2 linked regions of the Nothobranchius furzeri genome follow. The protein of the gene in region 1 purifies or fractionates together with the protein of each later gene. This does not show direct contact. Links are inferred from orthologs where the notes say so. Each region holds a gene or a part of one and is shown on either strand. Other genes may lie near its edges.

Region 1 (4,145 bases):
TGTAAAAAATAAACTCTAAATAAACTATGTTCACATCCAGAATCTAACCCGGGTCTTCTGCATGAGAGTCAGACATCTTACAAGGTGAGCTACACTCTAGTAACATTCACAGTATCTATAACTTTTATATCCTTGATGACAGCTGAAACGTTCAAAGAACGGTTCGAAGCGAAAATGGCTATTTTGTTGCTAATTTGCAGGAAATATCTAGAAGAAAGTTCTACAGAAAGTAGCTAAGGGTCCTCAGAAATATAGCTAGGTTTGTTACTAGGCGTTAGGAAGTTGGCACTGCCTCTCTCTCTGCTGCTAAAGCTACGGATAGCAAATGCTACGGGCTATGCCTGAGCGTGAACGCGCATGAAGCAGCCTGCTCGACCCGAGCATCTCTCTTTTTCTGTGATTTTACAGAAAAACAGGCAATCACAGTAAAAATGCCAGGGCTCATTCTACAGGACCAGGGCATTGCAGGAGAATGTATGAAGAAGACATTTATTATTTCTATACATGTTTTGGCTGTCACACTTCCGTACAGTCCCTTTAATTTAAAACAATAAAAATTTAAACATTTTAAATTATCTCTAAATGACCAGATGGTTGCTTGTTGCTCTGATGAAACACAGAAGATCTCTGATAACGTTAAACACAAAGCCTCAGAAAGCAGGTTTAACGTTCTGACCTTATTTATAAACACAAACAAACCATCACTGCATCAGCCACATAATGAAGATAAAACATGACCTCCTCTCCTCAGGTCTCACCTCGGATGATGCTGAAGAGCTCTTCGATCCTCATGTTGACGTAGATCCTGCAGAAGAACTGATGCATGTGGCATCTCCACTGCTTCATGATGGAGCTGGCAGGCTGGGTGCCCTGGATGCTGGACTGAATGGGACCACTGGGAGCAGCAGGAACAGGAGTGGCTCCGTCCACCTCACTGGCGAACACTTTGCTCAGCCAGCCAAGAACCAGCTCCAGCCACTGCAGGGACAGAAGAGCGTCAGAACATGAAGACAGGAGAGGAAACGGTGGAAAAGGGGTTTTACCTCCTGGAAGTCCAGCAAGAAGGAGCGCTCGTACTCGCCCCGGCAATGCTGCTCCATCCGCTGCTCGATGAGCTTGTGGAGGATGCAGGTGATGGCCTCTGAGCTGACCCACTCCAGCAGCTGTAGCTTCAGTCTACAAACACAAACAGCTGATCAAACATTCATCCGGACGAAGCAACAGCAGAAACAATCAGCAGTGAGATCCTCTCACAGTATGTGGCTGAGCTCCTGCAGCTGCTCCAGGGCCTCCTGACACCAGCACCTCAGGACCGGGACCCCACACCCTGGGCAGGACCCTCCACTGGGGCTGTCTGGAGCCTCGGCCACATCCTCATCGCTGCCCTCCAGTTTCATGTAGACGGAGAAAGTCCTGCTGTAAAACTCCAGCACTCGCTCCTGCAGAATGGGGGGAGGAGAGAACAGCAGGAGGGCTCTGATGGTGGTGAAGGCTCGCTCCTGGAGGCCACTGGGACCTGGACCACACAGACCACCACGACCCTCATCCTGCCACGCCCCAAGCTTCTCCAAACCACCTGCATGGAGGGAGATGGGAAACTAATTACCTGTTCCTCTTTGGTTTTATCCACAAAATAATATAGTGAAAGTCTGGAAAGCAAAAAAAATCCAAACAACTTTAGAAGTTGGAATAAAATCTTAAAGATTCAAGGACAAGGTCATCACTACTGTATTTGTTCTACTTGCTCAGAAAAGGTTCCAGGCGGTCCAACAGAGTCCTAAAAGCAGTGAGGAGAACCCATGCTCGATCTTTTTCCTCCAGCTCGTTCTCCGGCTGTTTCAGGCAAGACCAGAACTCTGGAACCACCGAGGACGACAGGCGCATCTGCAAAGTTTCCAGCAGCCAGATCCCGAGCAGTCGGCCCAAACCATGACTGCAGAGCAGAAGCAAGGAGTCAGAGAGGCTCTGGTCAGACACCGGGCATCCAGAAGACACCTAGAGAAGGACCCAAACAGAATGGTGGTATGAAATCCACCACAGAATCATCTCCAACCAGAAAAGGGCTGCTGGATGTCTGGTATTCAGGGGCAGGTGGTTAATGTAGGAATGGATGAGAGATGGAATCAGAACTGAGTAAAAGAGCAAAATCATTTCCAACATAAAATACACATTTTATTATAATATAGGTGTTTAATATAAGCCTTTTTCGACATGTCATTTGTGTTTGTTTTTAACTAAATGGCTGACTCAAACTTATGAATATTGAGTTGTTAGTAGTCAACCCATTTTTCTTTGCATGGAGTAAAGTTGTCAGTAAACACGATGACGTCAACAAATGTAAGCCGAAATCCACCGAATACTCCTGCTGACTATTTATAACGCCAGTTTTGTGTCTAGCCCTTAATAAACCAATGTAAAATCCAAAACATCATTCAATCGTGTGATTTACGAATGGAGTCTTGTGACAGCACTTCATTCAGTGTTTGGTTGCTCGTGTCCGAGGCTCTGACCCACTCACCAAAGCTGCAGTCACGGATTCCCACGCCTCAGCGAGCCCCTGGAGCGCTCCGGGCTCAGACATTTCCACCGAATCCGATTCCATCATCATTTCCTCCATTTTATGACACTTTCTTCACAAATGCCGAACCGGCTCCTGTAGATTCAGCATTTAAACCTCAGCATGTCTTGTCTTACCGCGGCGCTATGTGTAAAAAGCATGCCCCGTGTCTCAACCGTGTTTCAACGAGTTTACTAAATAATAACTTTTCCATTCAAGCAAATAGTAATTTACAATACAGATATGAACATGGTATGGCGGGTTGACTTCTTCTACTTTTTTTTATCACTTACATGCTACAGGGGTGGACACTGCCCCCTGCAGGTACCGTCCGTAAAAAGTATTTGTTGAGTTTGAATCGGTTTTAATGTTTACTCGCCCCCTCTAGCGGTTAGAATAATCACTACAGCCGGCCACAGACACAAGTTGACAGAACTGAACTACAAAATAAAACATTTCAAAATTGCTTATACAAACTCCACCAGGTGTCAGTAAAGGCCAAATGTTATGAAACTGTACTTATTTTTGTATAAAATTTAAATAAAATCTTTCGAAACGGATGTTAATATCAATAAATATTTCGACATATCTTAGAGAGTAATATAGATGCTTAATGTCTGTGAAGGTTCTCAGTCATCCAGGTCATTGTAGTCTAAGGAGCTTTGAAAGAAAAGCGTCTGGACTTCTTTGAGTTGCTTGAAGACAAAGCTCCTTAGACCATAGATGCTTAATGCACACAAATACAGCTATAAATAATAAATAAATAAATAAACATTTTTAAAAACTGGATCATGACATGTCTTTTAAACGCCGTCGTGTCTCTTATTTTGACAGGTTGTGTGAAAACCGTATCCGCCTTAGCAGCAGCTAGCAGCAGAGACATCATCATGGCAACCGAGTACGAGTGAGTTTGTTGATATGGCAAAAATTCCTTCAAAATATTCATGACACGCTTTGAATTTTACCCGCACGCTCCCGCACATTAAGGTTTGCTGTTCTCGGTACAATCGGATGAAATGTCGTAGGTGTTGTAGCTAGCTGAAGGGGAAGCTAACAGGTTACGTCAAAAGGGCCAGGCTAAAAACAGTAAATAAGCCGAAAACCGTTTTTGTTTACAGTGTTCAGTCTGAGATCGAGGTTCTGCAGTCCATCTATCTGGACGAGCTGAAGGTGGACAGAAGGGACGAGGGGTAAATCTGCTCATTTCAGAACATCTTTGTGTTATAAATCACTGGTTGGGTTATATGTGAGCAAATAATGATATGAAGACGTTAAATATTTGCAACAAAGGGATAAGAATGTCTCCCAAATCTATTTGATGGGAAAAAACTCAGCTGATTATGTTATATATATGTATATATATTTTTTAACTCTTACCATGGGTTTAATTTAATGACAGTCAACCAGAATTAAATGCATCTGTATAAAAAATTATTAGCAATCAAAACAAACATAATAGTATCTATTTTTCCAGGAAATGACTGAGTGATGAATTGGAAAGTGCAGCCAGTGTATTCATTAAACTGAGTAGACAATAGTGGTTCTCATTTGGTCCTAAGCAGAAATGTCTAGAAACATATTTTAATTT
Region 2 (4,151 bases), on another chromosome or scaffold:
AGGAAAAGCTGCAAATCATCCAATTTTTATTTATCCATTTAAATCATTTAAATGAAGTCAAATATAAATTCAGAGGGTGTAATGTAAACTGGGACAGTCATGCACCCTGCTCCGGTCAAGGGCCGTATTCAAAGAATTATCTTGGTACATCCCTCCTCTGCTTTGTTCCTTAGTAAATCTGTGAGACTTTGGGTGGTAGGAGTGAGGTGAGCTTTCAGGGGTCGGAGGGAAACTGCCATAGGCACTTGAAGTCGTCCTGTACAGGATCCTTCCAATGTTTGGGTTTGTTGCTGATTTCATGCTTCTAGTTGCCGAGGTGGTAATGGAAGAGACTGCTGGGTTTCCAGGGCTAGTGCATAGTTCTGTGATTTCTGTCTGCTGCTCTTGTGACAGGGACATCACTGGAGTGTCTGCAAAGTAAAAGAAAAGTTTACAACACTCAACCCCTACAGGACCAATCCTGCTGAAGTCAACTTCAGTAGTTACATATATATATATATATATATATATATATATATATATATATATATATATATATATATATATATATATATATATATATATATATATATATATATTTGTGTGTGTGTGTGTGTGTGTGTTTGCTTAGAAAAAGTACAAAATTATTATTAATATATAAAATTAATATTAAAATTATATTGTTAAATTATAAACAGCTTGCATTATTATTAGCTTTTTAAAATTTTGGCTATGTGAGTGCTTTTTGCAAACAGTATTATTTAGTGACATTTAAAATCTGAGGACAAATAAACCACATCTTTAATACCGCACACGCGCGCACACACACACACACACACACACACACACACACACACACACACACACACACACACACACACACACACACACACGCACGCACACACACACACACACGCACGCACCCACAGACAAATACGTTTAGCTAACATTTCCTGTTTTGAAGTAGTCGGCTAGGGATTTTTACAGGATTATTGGATACATACATAACTAGATGCGTCTGAGGCTTACTAGGGCCTCCGCTGTTTGCGTACATTGTTATACTAATTACCTTAAAATACACAAATACCGCAAAAATGTCCGCGCTGTTTTGATCAGGCCTCGCCAGTCGCCAGCTCTTCCGTGGGTCAAGAAAAACGATGCGTCTGGTTTCCATGGAAACCACTTAGACGAAGGAAACGGAATCGTTCATCTTTTTTAGTTTTGATTGCTTTTTACTTTTATAACAGAGTGGTTTATTGATAAACAACAACATTGAATAAATCAGACTGAATTAAATTGCTGGTCAAAATATAGAACTTTGTTGGCTTTGTAAAAAAATTCAGAAACTCTCCACTGCACCTGAAGGTATCGTTGTGTCGTCATCATCAAGCGTCGACGCCTACGTCTAAATTAAGCGTCTGTTTACTGTGAGCTAAGCGTAGCGTCTCCTCTAAGTGTATATTCTATCGAAATTATTTACCGCTGCTCTCTTCTTTTATTTCGATGAACTTCAGCTTTCCCTGCGAGGTTGAGTGGGTTTTTGTTGAGAGCTGTTTCAGCTGCTGAACCTGAAATGGACAGTGAAATTCAACGAGACGGGAGAGTCCTGGATCTGACTGATGATGCCTGGAGAGAAGACAAACTACCGTATGAGGATGTCACCATCCCCTTGGTAAAAACGTTAAACGTGTTTGCATTAAAATACAGTGTGGTTAAACAAATGGTAACGTATCCCTCAAATGACCATTCCGAAGTTCAAAATAAATCATTTGTGAATTATAAAAAAGAGCAAGTCACCCCCAAATCAATTTCTTTTTGCTGATAAAATACATAAATAAGTGTCTAATCAAGCTGTAGACACATGTAGTCAATAATTTGGCATTTTAGAGCATCTTAGTTAAAATTTAAATATTCTGCCCAGAACTGTCAGTGTTACACCCTCTTCAGGTAATTTTAAATCTGCTATCGCTATTGGCTAAGAGGTACCCTATGATGTCAGCTGGCACCATATGATGTCACAATAGGCATGTTTCCATTACCAGAACTCCAGGGTAGTTCCTGGGATGGGGAACTTGACCAGGAGATAGGATGTCCCAGTCCTCTCAGCTGTTGTGTCTCCATTCAGATTCAGCCCTTTCAGAACTTGCACAGACGTCAGCGGGTCACGACTGCTTTGGCAGTGAGTGATGTCACTGATCAGCCCAGAAAAGTGCCCAATGTGTCATTAATAATATCCATCCATCTTCTGAACCCGCTTTGTCCACGTAGGGTCGCGGGGGGGCTGGTGCCTATCTCCAGCGGTCAACGGGCAATTAGGCGGGGTACACCCTGGACAGAGAGCCAGTCCATCGCAGGGCAACACAGAGACACACAGGACAAAAAATCATGCACACACACACACATACACACCTAAGGACAACTTGGACAGACCAATCAACCTAACAGTCATGTTTTTGGACTGTGGGAGGAATCCGGAGAGAACCCACGCATGCACAGGGAGAACATGCAAACTCCATGCAGAAAGATCCCAGGCCGGGAAGCGAACCCAGGACCTTCTTGCTGCAAGGCAACAGCTCTAACCACTGCACAGCCCTCATTAATAATATTTAAAGCATTTATTTTATAGAAGTATATCATAATTTAATCCATTCAGAGGACAAGAGCAGCTCTGAGTTTTGTGAGACAAGCCCCTGGAGTTATCCCCCAGGCTTTCAAACAGGCAGTGGTCCAACCAGTTTTGAAGAAAGCTGGTTTGGACTCCACCTCCCTGGAAGCTTCCATTTTTATCTAAGCTTCTTGAGAAAGATGTTTTTACACAGCTCTCTGACCATTTGCAGACTTTTAACCTTTTAGACCCTTTGCAATCCGGGTTCCGTCCCGGTCATAGTACTGAGACTGCCCTTCTTAGTTTTTAATGATGTTCTGTGGTCCACTGATTCCGGCTCCCATGTTCTACTGGTGTTTCTGGATCTCACAGCTGCTTTTGACACCGTAGACCATGCTATACTTCTGTCCCGACTGAACCAGGTAGTGGGCATCCAGGGAACTGCCCTAAACTGGTTCAGATCGTACCTCAGCAACAGAAGTTTTTGTGTGAGGCTGGGGGATTTTGCCTCTGAAACCTCCTCTCTTCCCTCTGGTGTTTTTATGTTTCATTAAAACCTCAAGAGTCAGTGCAGCTGGCTGTGGATTGCCTGAATGAGGTGAATGGCTGGCTTTATAATAACCTTTTACATCTGAACGAGTCTAAGTTGGAAGCTCTCTTGTTTGTTCCTCCCTCTCCCACTTCAGTTAGTCCTGTCCTACCACCCTGTTTTCGCAGCTTAGTGAAGCCAACCATCACTAACCTGGGGATGGTTTTTGACCCGGAGCTGCAGATGGACTCCCACATTAGCCAGGTGGTTAGATCCTACTTTTTCCAGCTTCATCGGCTATCAAAGATGGAAGTCCATCCTGACTAGACACGACCTGCACACAGTGATCCATGCATTTGTGGTCTCTCGCTTGGATTATGCAAATTCCCCTTTTTATGGATCCACGTCTTCCTCGGTTGTGCGCCTACAGCTGGTGTGGAATATGGCGGCCTGCCCTTTGACGGACACCAGAAGGAGGGAGCACATTACTCCTGTTCTGACCCAGCTGCACTGGCTCCCAGTTTAAAATTTTACTTCTTGTTTTTAAGTCACTATCTTTATGTGCCTCTCTACTTGACTCAGCTGGTTCAGCCCAGTTCAACTCCGGTTGTAGCTAGATTGCTACCTTCGTTAGCTTAGCTCCCACCTCCGCGTTGGCTTTGGGTTAGCTTCAGGTTAGCTTGTAGCTACATTAGCTTCAGTTTGACCGGGTGTCGTCAGTTGATCCCAGCCTTACAGCCCCACCCTCAGCTCCGCCTCTCTTCCCTTTTGTGGAATTGTCTGGGCTTGACGGAACCTGTGACACGGTCAAAATGGCGGTGGTGGCCACCTCCCATTTTGGCACAAAAACTTTTAATTGGAGCCTATGGAAACTCATTGTCCATATATATATATATATATATATATATATATATATATATATATATATATATATATATATATATATATATATATATCGATGGTTCAGCCTTACGTACCTGGTCGAATTCTTCAATCAGCAGACCACCGCCTGTTACAGGTCCCGAGTGTTTGGGTGAA

The links.
Region 2: the proteins of anapc2 (region 1) and anapc13 purify together in Homo sapiens (affinity purification with mass spectrometry; 3 studies listed by BioGRID and IntAct, counting the BioPlex papers as one, with this or other methods). This does not show direct contact. The link is inferred for Nothobranchius furzeri from reciprocal best matches to the Homo sapiens genes ANAPC2 and ANAPC13.

What each region holds. Positions count from the first base shown.
Region 1 is NC_091745.1:17,481,300-17,485,444, reverse strand, and holds the start of anapc2 (anaphase-promoting complex subunit 2), read right to left. Parts: upstream 2,801-4,145; 5' UTR 2,618-2,800; coding exon 2,519-2,617; intron 1,996-2,518; coding exon 1,746-1,995; intron 1,577-1,745; coding exon 1,255-1,576; intron 1,177-1,254; coding exon 1,044-1,176; intron 979-1,043; coding exon 759-978; intron 1-758. Other genes in the region: E3 ubiquitin-protein ligase RNF25, read left to right, coding at 3,349-3,461, 3,676-3,747. UniProt on the Homo sapiens protein: Together with the RING-H2 protein ANAPC11, constitutes the catalytic component of the anaphase promoting complex/cyclosome (APC/C), a cell cycle-regulated E3 ubiquitin ligase that controls progression through mitosis and the G1 phase of the cell cycle.
Region 2 is NC_091744.1:86,652,769-86,656,919, forward strand, and holds the start of anapc13 (anaphase-promoting complex subunit 13), read left to right. Parts: upstream 1-1,351; 5' UTR 1,352-1,552; coding exon 1,553-1,651; intron 1,652-4,151. Other genes in the region: pierce1 (piercer of microtubule wall 2 protein), read right to left, coding at 70-399. UniProt on the Homo sapiens protein: Component of the anaphase promoting complex/cyclosome (APC/C), a cell cycle-regulated E3 ubiquitin ligase that controls progression through mitosis and the G1 phase of the cell cycle.